3 linked regions of the Macaca mulatta genome follow. The main gene of each other region encodes a partner of the protein of the gene in region 3 in a complex. Links are inferred from orthologs where the notes say so. Each region holds a gene or a part of one and is shown on either strand. Other genes may lie near its edges.

Region 1 (4,232 bases), on a different chromosome or scaffold from region 3:
AGCTTCATCAATCATTTCCTATATGACAGTAAAGATTCAGGTTAGATTAATTTATAAACTAATGCCAAAAGGTGACTAAGTAATATGACTCTTTTTAGAGACGGGGTCTCTATGCTGCCCACACTACTCTCAAATTATTGGCCCCAAGCGATCCTCCTGCCTCAGCCTCCTAAAGTACTGGGATTACATGCATGAGCCACTGTGCCTGGCAAGCAATAGACTTTTAATAACACTATGTGAATAGATAATTGTAGTCCACCCAATGCCAGTATGCCACTCCTGATAATAGCTTGGTTCCTGAAAACTTATTTGAAAACCAACTCATACTTTGTCAAACATTATCACCTGGGAGGGAGCTTGAAGATTACCTTGACTAGAGGGATTCCTGGAATGTAAAATAGTAGGCAAAACTGTGCCTATGTGCATTTTTCTGGAAGCAGCGTTCATAGGTTTGTCTGACTATTAAAGGAGAATTCAGTTGTCCACAGAGGGACAAAGTACACTGGCTTTCCTTCAAAGAAGTGCTCACACTAGGGAAAATGTAACAGAAAAGTCACAGAGGGCCCAAAGGTGGGAATCTTAAGTTCCAGTGTGATGCATTACAAACCTGCAGCTCCTCATCAGTCAGGTTCTCACCCAACTCCTTGGCCACGCGTTTCAGATTTTTGAACGAAATCTTCCCAGTTTCATCATCATCAAAGAGCTTGAAAGCTTTCAGGATTTCTTCTTTGGTATCTTTCTCAGACTTACCAAATAGAACATGAAACACATGAGTAGGGGGACACCATGGTTACTCATGTCCTGTAGCCCTGCCACTGCCCGGTCAGGTCACCCTTTCCTTTTTAACAATGTAACTCGAGTCTAGACTTGCAGCAAGTGTCAGGAAGCCCATTTTGGCCTCAGAGAAACACCAGTCAAGCCAGGCACTCCATCCAAGGTGACGTTTGCTCCCTATCCCTATATCTCTCCCTATCCCATATCTATTTCCTAACTGGTTTAGAATTCTGTGGGAAGAGGTATCTGCTTGGAAGTCTTGAGAAAGAAGTACAAGGGCTTGTTTTGGGAGCCCAAGGTAACATGATGGGAGGGCAGGCCTCCTGATGCAGCTGCTACCTGGACTGCTCTGTGGTCACATGACTGTTTTAACAGGCAGATGCCATGGGCCTCTGCAGATGACTGGGGCGCCATACCATGCAAATTGTCTTAGCTACTCACCATTTTCTGGGTCATCACAGTTAAAAAGTCACCAAAGTTCATTTTTCCTGTCCCTTCTTTGTCAATTTCACTTATCATTTTCTTAATTTCTTCTTTCTTAGGTTCAAAGCCCAGGGCCCTCATTGCCACCTATAATGAAAACAGGATTGTCTCAATAAGCACATCTGAACTAGCAGCAGCAAAAACAACAGTGTTGAGAGCATTAAGCCAGCATCTGATGTGGTCATGTTAATATGATTGGGGAACACTATAACATTGATCTAATTGACATTTGCAATCAATTTTATTTAATAATACTCTAAGTAAAGACAGGAAAACAGAGCACAGTACAACCTCCCCTGTTACTTATTGCAGGGAGAAGAGGGCAAAAGGGGTAGAGAGGTGATAGGGAGATGACAAGGAAGAGGCAGAGGAAAGGAAGGGCAGTACGGCAGGAATGCATAGAGCTTGCCTTAAGTTCTTTAACATCTATGGTGCCAGTTCCATCCGCATCGAAAAGATCAAAAGCTTCCCGGATCTCCTGCTTCTGCTCTTCAGTAAGCTCAGGCTTAGGACTCATTCTTTTTCTCTGGGAACTTGATGCCATGTTTGTCTTCTTAAAGTTGGAGGCCTTCATACGTTATGCAATACACAAGCACAATAATATATCGTACAGTCCATATTTACATAACATAGTTACAGACACCCATATGTAGTTTTAAATAATTTTATGGCAACCAATTCCAAAGCTTTGCTTAACAAGAAAGATAACAGGGTTTACTGGCAAGAACAATGAATCTTTCCATGAACTTCTATCCCTCCCTTTTCTTTACTGTCGTTTCTAGAAGCAGGGAGATCACTTGTTCAGTAAGGATACCTCTTACTGAAAATCATCCCAAAAGAGAGCTAGTCAAGAAAATGACTGCGAATAAGTAGAGATAATCAGCTCTTCCCGAATGTGGGGATCCTGGTTCTGGAAACTGCCTTACAATGCCCACTCCCAGTACTCCGCTTCCCAGTAAGCACTCTGACTTCCCAATTACTTCTAGATTTGGCCAAATATTAGCAAGTTGTTAAGATGTATATTGTGTCAGTATCGAGTAATAAAACTCAATCCATCTGACACCTTCGTGCCTTCTCCAAGAAGCTACAGCATCCCCTGAATGCCCCTATATTTAAATTGTAAAAAACACTTTAATAGAACACAATACACCTTCTCCCAGCTCTGTGTGGAAATTTTGGCAGAATGAGGCGGCCAGGGGGCCAAGGTCTGAGAAAGTCAGGGGCCTGTGAGGGATTCGAGTCTTTTTTGCCCAGGGAGGTTCACCGAGGTGATCAGGGAAGGCCAGGGGAGCCCGAGGGGCGGGTGTGGGCCTGTTGTGGGTGAAGGGGAGGCAGCAGCAAAGCGCAGGCCCAGTAGGTTGGTTAGCGTCTGTACCCTACTCTTCCGGGAAAGAGCTCAAAGGAAGGACTGGTGCGTCAAAGCCGAGAAAGGCGCAGGAGAGGCGGCGTGGCCGAGCTGGGGCCTGGGAAGGGCTCAGCCTCTGGGCGTGGGGCGCGACAGAGCGGCAGCACTCACCATAGCCAAAGGAGTCCACGGCCGGTTGTTAGGCAACCGACGTGTACACTGATTCGGCGCCGCTCCCACCGCCCCGCGCGCACAGCCCCGCTCCCCATTGGGCGTCCGCTCGCCGCCGCCGCTCCCTACTGGTGCAGGGCCGAAGAGGGTGGGACTAACCTGGCAAAGCCCAGGCCCAGCGCGGGGAGGGGCACGCTGGGGACAGAGACCTGTCTTTATTGGGCAAGATCAAGCCGTGAGCGCCAATTGGCTGAGCCGACGCCGAGCTGGGCCAATCCTCTTGGTAGAAGAAGCTCGGCTGATTCTCGGCTCACGCGGGAGGGGAGTAAAGGGTGGCGTTCCGGGGCTGGAGTTCGGTGGGTGCAGCCTGCTTGCGAGCTGAGGCCAGCCAGTGGGGCACCTGCGGACGGGTAAGAGTCGTGGCCTTGCCCTTGGAGGCCACCCTGTGTCAGCGACTGGGCGGGGCGGGAGGGTGAGGAGCTGCGGGGCCGCCCGGGTCGGGTGCTTTCTGTGCTGACCTAAGGCTGAGTTAGGGACCGAGTGCATCAGAGCAGCCAGAGACGATTGACCTTGCGTGTTGGAGCAGGGACTGTACTCACGGGGCAACTGAGACCCGGAGAGGGGAAGGGGTCTGCTGAGCGTTGTGGCAGAGGTCGGACGGCTGGGACCTAGGAACTGAATCCAGCCGAGGCTCGCTCTTTGAGGGTGGCCCTTCGAGAGCACCCCCAGACTGACCCAGATGTGTAGGCCCCAGACCAGGTTCCAAGAGAGGATCACTTCAGGTCTTACCTGGCTAAAAACAGCCCAGGACGGTGAACTGGGGGCTTTGGGAACGGACTTTGAAAGGAGTGAAGGGGATGTGAGCAAGCAAGAGGGGCGGGGAGAGGTCATCAAAATATACTCTTTTTGACACCCACACAGTGCAGATAAGGAGGAGCATTCCAGGCCGAGACGCCCTCATCAGCAGAGTCACAGGAGTTTTGGAAGTGAGAGGTATGCTTGGAGAATTAAAAGGGAGCGTGTGCAAGGGCTGTGTGGACTGAGACAGACCTGCAGAAGTGGAGCTGGAGGTCCAGTTTGCCCTCTTTAGCTGTCTACGTGGCTTTTAGCCTTCACCTGATTTTCCTCCAGGCACTGGGGCAGTAATCTAGGGAAGTAGAGGGCAGAAAGTAAGTTTTTCAGGCAGAGAAAGGCCTGAGGCTTATTAGAACCTTTTAAATGGAGCTTCTGCCCTTTGCCCTCTTCAGCAGTGAACAGACTCCTAATTTTTGGGTCATCATCATCCCCCCAAGTAGTACGAGCCAGAGTTCTCATCATGGTCTCCAAAGCTTGGCACGACGTGTCCCCTCCCATCACTCCACAACTCTTCTCTCAGCCCCAGAACACTGGCTTTGTGGTTGAACCTCATGTGCCAGCCACACTACTGCCTCTCATCTTTGTCCCAGTTGTCCTCTCTGTC
Region 2 (4,169 bases), on a different chromosome or scaffold from region 3:
CCCCCAAATTCTAATGTAAATGACTTTCAATTTGTTTGGGGGAAAAAAAATATTCTTTAAGTGTAAAGAGAGAAGTGGTCATAACAATGAATCCTCAAAATTTTGCCACCACTCCACTTTATTTAATGGAAAAGTTATGTAGTTGAAAGAACATTCTAACTTCTGTCTAGACCAGTGGTTTTTAATCTTTTGGAAGCCAAGGTCCCCCCTAAGAATCTCAGAAAGGCTCTAAGCTTGCTTTTTTTTTTTTTTTTTTAAGCTTGTTTAAAAAAAAAAAAAAAAAAAAACAGGCTGAGCAGAGTGGCTCACACCTGTAATCTCAGCACCTGGGGCCAAGGCGGGAGGATCACTCGAGCCCAGGAGTTGGAGACCAGCCTGGGTAACATAGTAAGACCCCGTCTCTACATTAAAGAAAAAAGTTAGCCGGGCATGGTGGTGCATGCCTGTAGCTGGCATGCCTGTAGTCTCAGCTACCCAGGAGGCTAAGGTGGGAGAATGGATTGAGTCCAGGACGTCAACGCTACAGTGAGCCATGATCCCGCCACAGCACTCCAGCCTGGGAGATAGAAAGAGACCTTGTCTCAAAAATAAAATAATGGCCGTTGCAGTGGCTCACGCCTGGAATCCCAACACTTTGGGAGGTGGAGGCAGGGAAATCACTTGAGCCCAGGAGTTCGAGAACAGCCTGGGCAACATGGTGAAATCCAGTCTCTACCAAAAATACAAAACAAAACAAAAAAAAAACAAGCCGGTGTGGTGGGTGCACCTGTGGTACCAACTACTCGGGAGACTGAGGTGGGAGGATCGCTTGAGCTGGGGAGGTGGAAGTTGCAGTGAGTCGAGATAGCGCCACTGCATCCAGCTGGGTGACAAGAGTGAGTGAGACCCCACCTCAAAAAAAAAAAACCATAAAAATTAAAGTCTTTAATTTCAGGAGTTACTGGAACCCTCAATAAGGTCTGTTTTAGACTCTATCACCACGTTCATATTTATGACTACGCCAGCAGTTTGAAATTACAATGTACAAGTAGGTATCTATTCCTCCTCTCTGGAGGAACAGGCTGTAACTTACTCCACTGTTCCCAAGAGAAACTAAATCAGAACCACTGCCAAAATTCTGCTGCACTTCCTATTTGACCCTGAACAGGTATCTTTAATCTCTACAGGTCTCAATATCCACAGGGCTGCTGGAAGCACTGATAAAAGACACAATTGTGCTGCTATTATAATCATGGTCATCCGTGAGTTTCCGTTTGTTTTTTTGTTTTTTTTGTTTTTAATTTTTATTTTTGATGGAGTCTCCCTCTGTCGCCCAGGCTGGAGAGCAGTGGCACGATATCGGCTCACTGGAACCTCGGCCTTCCAGGTTCAAGCGACTCTCCTGCCTCAGCCTCCGGAGTACCTGGGACTACGAGCGTGCGCCACCACGCCCGGCTTTTTTTTTTTTTTTTTTTTTTGGATTTTTAGTAGAGACGGTGTTTCAACATGTTAGCCAGGTTGGTCTCGAACTCCTGACCTCAGGCAATCCGCCCTCCTTGGACTCCCAAAGTGGTGGGATTACAGGCGTGAGCCACCGGGCCCCGCCAATATCCTTTTAACATCAACAATAAAAACAGTGACTTGTAGCTAACATTCAGTGCTATGTATCAAGCACAACCCTAAATGTTTAAAATGGATCCTATCAAATTCTATCAACGTTACAACTCCACCTATGGATGGAAAGTGTAACTGGCCCCAAATACCCAGCTTATGAACGACAGGGCTGATTATTCAAGCCAAAGCAAACTGACTCAACATTCTGTGCACATCCACCTTTAATAGCTTCTTCCGTCACTCTTTAGATCCAATTGCTAAAGTCTTACTGAATCCAAAACAGATCACATTATTTACCTATAAAGAGGAAAAATATCCTAAGAACATTTGTGGAAAAGGTTAAAAATTGTAAGCCATACTAACGATTTATAAGAAATTTATAATTTTTTTTTTTTTAAAGCAAAAGCACCTACCAAACTGTTCTGGGGGTGGGGGAGGTGAGTATGAGGAGTGGAGCTGGACCCTTATAAAGGGACAGCGACAAACATCTCATACTCAAAACAAGGGGACTTCGCGTGTCATTTGCGCCGTCGGGCCGTTGCAAACGTTCGCGCTGAGATCCCTACGTTGTCACTCGTCACAGCCGCCAAAGCGCACCCGGGAGCTGCGTCAGTCCCCACTGGGTTCCCCCAGGCCAAGGAGGTACGACCTCCGCCGCAACACGTAAAATGTCCGGGGGATGGGAAGAATCCCGCCGACATAGCACCCGGGTGCCCAAGCCCCCCGAGAACTAGGCCGCGCGGGTACTACGCGGCGCGCGACCGGCCAGAAAGCCCGGGCCAGGGCGGGCCCACGAGCGAGGACCGTCGGGAACAGGCCGGGAGAAAGAGGAAGCGCCAGCGCCAACGGTCTCCCGCCCACAGCGGTCCCCCCAGGGCTCTCCCTGCGCTTGCCAGCGCCACGCCGCCCACAGGACCGCGCTAGCCGGCCGGCGCCTCAACAGTGCGCGCCAGGGAGCAGCGCCCGTCGGGAGCCATGACGCCCGAGCCTCGCGAGGCCGCCGCCCGGCCAGGTCGAAGCCGTCGGTCTCTTCGAGATCCACTCACCTCTCGAGGCGACGGGGCGGAGCCCTGCACCGAGGCGATGTACCGCTCCACGTCGGCCTTGCTGCGCCTCATCGCGCCGCCAACCTGGCTCCCGAGGCGCGGGAGACCAGCGCTCAGCCCCGCAGCAGTCGCAACTTCCAAGAGGAAAGCGCCTGCAAACCAGTGACGCAGCGACGTCGCCAGCGGAGGACCATCCCGACGAACTTGCGTACTGCGTCAGCACTGTGCGCCACGTTGGCGACGTCGGCGCTAGAGCTGCACACTGCCGGGCTCTTGGTAGCTCGCTGGGTTCTGAGCGGTGTCTTGGGAAGCCGGGATCAGATTTCGGCCCCCGCGTCCACAGCGTGGGCGTAGATTTCCAGCAGATAACAATTTGCGTGATGGGCTCTTAAGCGTTTTGGTCGCTTGTTCTAAATTATAAGTGCGCCACGCATTGGAAGAAAAAAGCACTCAGGCCAAGTTGGTGAGCGTGTAAATTGGAACAACGTTTCTGGAGATGACTGGTTAAATACGTTGCATCGGACGTGTGAATACTAAAGTATACATTTTAAAATTCGTATTTATTAAAAGAAATGAGGGCCGGGCGTGGTGACTCACGCCTGTAATCCCAGCACTTTGGGAGGACGAGGCGGCCGGATCATGAGGTCAGGAAATCGAGACCATCCTGGTTAACCCAGTGAAACCCCATCTCTACTAAAAATACAAAAAAAAAAAAAAAATCAGCAGGACGGGGTCGCACGCACCTGTAGTCCCAGCTACTCGGGAGGCTGAGGCTGGAGAATCGCTTGAACCTGGGAGGCGGAGGTTGCAGTGAGCAGAGATTGCGCCACTGCCCTCCGCTTGGGCGACAAAGCGAGACTCCGTCTGAATTTAAAAAAAAAAAAAAAAATTTAGAATTGCATAATGAAAAAGTAGGCCACAAATACTAAGTTTTGGACAATTACAATTTTTTAAAGTCATCCCTTGGCGGGGGATTGGTTCCAGAACCACCGGTTTATGCCAAAACCCACGCATTCCGCTGGGCGCGGTGGCTCACACCTGTAATCCCAGCACTTTGGGAGGCTGAGGCAGGCGGATCACCTGAGATCAGGAGTTCGATACCAGCCTGGCCAACATGGCGAAAGCCCGTTTCTACTAAAAATGCAAAAAAAAAAAAAAAAAAAAAAAAAAAATTACCTGGGCATGGAGGTGGGCACCTGTAATCCCAGCTACTCGGGAGGCTGAGGCACGAGAATTGCTTGAAACTGAGAGGCGGAAGTTGCAGTGAGCTGAGGTCGCGCCACTGTACTCCAGCCTGGGCGAGAGTAAGACTTCCTCTTAAAAACAACAACAACAACAACAAATCCGCGGATTTTCAAATCCCGCAGTCAGTGCTGAGGATGGAACTCTCAGAGGAAAAGTCGGACCCCCCTATATGCCGGCCCCTCGAATACTGTATTTTCTGTCGGCTTATAAGTGGACCCAGGCAGTTCAAACCCATGTTATTCCAGGTTCAACCGTGTATATAGGAATAACCATTCGCCCCACAGA
Region 3 (3,500 bases):
CACCTGAGAAGTTTCTGAAGAGGGTTAAGGACAGATCTGGGGAGATATATATAAAGCTAATACAATAATCCAGGCAAGACATAGTGGCAATTTGGTGCAGGGTATTTAATGTCTTTGTTTCAATTAATTTAATTATAATGTTATAACACCTCCATCTCAGGGTAGACAATTAGGCAACTCATCTCTACTATAGGATTTAGAATAGGCTGTCTTATACTTATCTACTTGTTTTTCCATGCTCCAATATGCTTTATAGTTCCTTATCCACTGTATAAAAGTAAAGCATTAGGGACTCATTAGGCAAGCAATAATGAATGACCAGTTTCGGGGCAATAGAGATGCAATCCCTGCATTGGATGACGAGGTTGAACTTTCAAGGTCTGTTTCAATATTAACATTCCTTGTTTAAATCCATGCTCATTTCCCATTCTTACCAGGTATGTCATAAGGAGGTAGCTTAAGAACAAAGATTCCCCCAGAAGCACATGGTAAGGCAAACAGGGCCTCCCCATCACTGCTAAGCCAGGCTGTTGAGGCGGTGGAATTAGGAGATATTCCAGGTACTGCTGGAATTAATTGATAGTTGCAAGGATCTGTGAAATCAACTTTTCCAATGTCAGTGAATATTGACTGCATCTGACTTTCAACTACCAACTCCTGTTGAGTAATTAAAAAGAAGAATCTATTAAATCAAAATAACCAGAATTTTGCTCAGTTTCTCTCTATTGCTAAAAAAGTTTTTAAAGTAAAAAACTGTAAACTGTCAAGCTTAAGAAGAAAGTCATTCTTTTTAATGAAAATTAATTCTCAACTTAAAATGTATGCCTGATCATTTTAAGTGGTAGCTATCAAAGTATGCTTGGTGAGGGATAATGAGAATCCAAATTTCCTTCAATTCCAAAAGATATCGCTCCAGCACTAAATTTGTGACACCCAGAGTAATTTGGGAAATAAAACATATTGCACTTAGCCAACTTACACTCCTATACATCCGGGAGGGGTGTGGTAAAAGTAACCTGTGCACTGTTTGATTGGTTAACATCAAGATTATCACATGATTCTGAGTCTCAGAGACATAAACCCCTCCAGGTAAAACACTGCAATTTTGGAATTTTAGGCGAACGGCATTATTCAACAGATTTATGTCCAGTGACTCCTCCATCAGCTCCAATGTATCTCCAGAGGTCTTCCTGTTGAAAAAGAGACATTTGTTTGAAAAGTTTATGCTTTTCTTTCTCACTGACTGTTGCACTGAAGTATACAAGAACAGTGTCCAAGTGAATTCACCAAATTTGAAAATTTTGGATAAACAGATTTGGAACACTTTTGCACTCCAAATCACATTATGTAAATTTATAAAAAACAGCATTACAAAATTCAAATTTCACTGTGATTCTGTTACATAGAGACATTTCCAAACTTGATAGGTCATTTATTTAGGACGATATTTTATGCAATTAAACTCTACTATAATAAAAATTAACACCATACCCTGGCCATTGCTTGTAGTGGAATGTGGCCTCCATATATACTACAGCATCGAACAAAATTAACCTTAATAATTGCGGTTATGTCTTGCTTCTATTACTTGTTAACCTGCGATTGCATGCGTGTGCACACACATACACACGCATAGCCTGTGTGTGCACACATACACACACACAAATAGCAATTGTATACATGTGCTTACATGTATGTGCAAAAATATTACTTAAATATTTTAACAATATAAAAATACCTTTGCAAATTGAACATATCAGGGTTAGTTTCTATACTGATAAGCTATTCTAACTTTTATTATTACTCCTCAAAAGGAGCTTTTTTCTTTTCCCCCACCCTTCCCAAAAGCTTGTTTATTAATTCCAGCTGAGGAGCAAGGCGCCACTGGCAGCCACAGATCTCACCGCTGCACGGGGTTTTAGAACTTCAGCCATAAAAATAGGCAGAATATTCCTTGATCATATTGGTGGTACCTGTCCATTTTCTTATGCAAACTGTGATACAATCCTGACCAACTGCTCAGAATTCATCTCCACGTGGTTCACAGGTGCCGCTGGCAGAGCATTTTTTTTTTTTTTTTTTTGAGACGGAGTCTCGCTCTGTTGCCCAGGCTGGAGTGCAGAGGCCCGATCCCAGCTCACTGCAAGCTCCGCCTCCCGGGTTTACGCCATTCTCCTGCCTCAGCCTCCCGAGTAGCTGGGACCACAGGCGCCCGCCACCTCGCCCGGCTAGTTTTTTGTATTTTTTTTTTAGTAGAGACGGGGTTTCACCGTGTTAGCCAGGATGGCCTCGATCTCCTGACCTCATGATCCGCCCGTCTTGGCCTCCCAAAGTGCTGGGATTACAGGCTTGAGCCACCACGCCCGGCCGAGTATTTCTTTTTAACAAGGTAGTGAACCTGCAGTACAATGAAGCTCAAGATTGGGTCATGGTCACTGGCCACCACATGGTTTGAGATGTGAGCTGAAAAACTGTAATAGCACACTGGGATGGATCTATGAGTTTGCCACCGAAGACAGCCAGCGTTATAAGGAAGGCCATGTGATCCTGGAACGTGCTCTAGTTCAAGATTGAGGGCTCTGAGGAGTATGTACGATCTGATAACTGTTTTTTGTTTTTTTGTTTTTTTGAGACAAGGTCTCACTCTGTCAGGCTGGGGTGCAGTGGTACAATCATAGCTCACTACAGCCTCGAAATCCTGGGCTCAGGCAATCCTCCCACCTTAACCTCCTGAGCACCTGGGACTACAGGCATGCACCACCACACCTGGCTAATTTTTGTATTTTTTTTAGTAGAGATGGGGTTTCACCAAGTTGGCCAGGCTGATCTTGAACTTAGTGATCAAGATCAAGTGATCCACCTGCCTCAGCCTCCCAAAGGGCTGGGATTACAGACTATCTGATAACTCTTGAAGAAAAAGAGATAAATTCATCTTTTCTCAGGTCTCCTTTGCTGAAAACAAAAATCTACTTACATACACCGTTACCTTAGCGTCAGAGTCAGAGTCATGAATGGCAGAACAAGAGGTTGTGCGAATCTAAGATGGAACCTTTTTTTTTTTAAGTTATGTATTTTCCATCCAGTAGCAGTGTATATAGAGAATATTATGCGGATGCTGTTAATTTTTTCCCCTCTGTTTACATCTTGAGGCAGAAAAGTCTATCTGCAGCTACATGGTAGGCTATTTACGAAAAAAATTTCAGCTATTAGAGTGGAAAAGTGGAAATTTTGAAAGGAAAATATGTCAGAAGTATAGTTTTTAAATTCACGGGCTTCATTTTAAACTGTTTTTTTTTTTTTTTGAGACAGAGTCTCACTCTCTCGCCCAGGCTGGAGTGCAGTGGCACGATGTCAGCTTACTGCAAGCTCTGCCTCCTGGGTTGACGCCATTCTCCTGCCTCAGCCTCCCGAGTAGCTGGGACTATAGGCGCCTGCCACCACACCTGGCTAATTTTTTGTATTTTTAGTAGAGACGGGGTTTCACCGTGTTAGCCAGGATG

The links.
Region 1: NUP160 (region 3) and centrin-2 share a complex: the UniProt entries of both Homo sapiens proteins name them as parts of the nuclear pore complex. The link is inferred for Macaca mulatta from reciprocal best matches to the Homo sapiens genes NUP160 and CETN2.
Region 2: NUP160 (region 3) and RANBP2 share a complex: the UniProt entries of both Homo sapiens proteins name them as parts of the nuclear pore complex. The link is inferred for Macaca mulatta from reciprocal best matches to the Homo sapiens genes NUP160 and RANBP2.

Annotation. Positions count from the first base shown.
Region 1 is NC_133426.1:159,106,006-159,110,237, forward strand, and holds the start of centrin-2, read right to left. Parts: upstream 2,801-4,232; 5' UTR 2,777-2,800; coding exon 2,774-2,776; exon of another isoform or gene 2,408-2,773; intron 1,826-2,407; coding exon 1,667-1,825; intron 1,345-1,666; coding exon 1,216-1,344; intron 746-1,215; coding exon 608-745; intron 19-607; coding exon 1-18. UniProt on the Homo sapiens protein: Plays a fundamental role in microtubule organizing center structure and function. Required for centriole duplication and correct spindle formation. Has a role in regulating cytokinesis and genome stability via cooperation with CALM1 and CCP110.
Region 2 is NC_133418.1:19,291,953-19,296,121, reverse strand, and holds the start of RANBP2 (E3 SUMO-protein ligase RanBP2), read right to left. Parts: upstream 2,801-4,169; 5' UTR 2,712-2,800; coding exon 2,640-2,711; intron 1-2,639. UniProt on the Homo sapiens protein: E3 SUMO-protein ligase which facilitates SUMO1 and SUMO2 conjugation by UBE2I. Involved in transport factor (Ran-GTP, karyopherin)-mediated protein import via the F-G repeat-containing domain which acts as a docking site for substrates.
Region 3 is NC_133419.1:17,747,256-17,750,755, reverse strand, and holds part of NUP160 (nuclear pore complex protein Nup160), read right to left. Parts: exon of another isoform or gene 2,374-3,500; intron 2,064-2,373; exon of another isoform or gene 1,867-2,063; intron 1,693-1,866; exon of another isoform or gene 1,681-1,692; intron 1,191-1,680; coding exon 980-1,190; intron 658-979; coding exon 435-657; intron 1-434. UniProt on the Homo sapiens protein: Functions as a component of the nuclear pore complex (NPC). Involved in poly(A)+ RNA transport.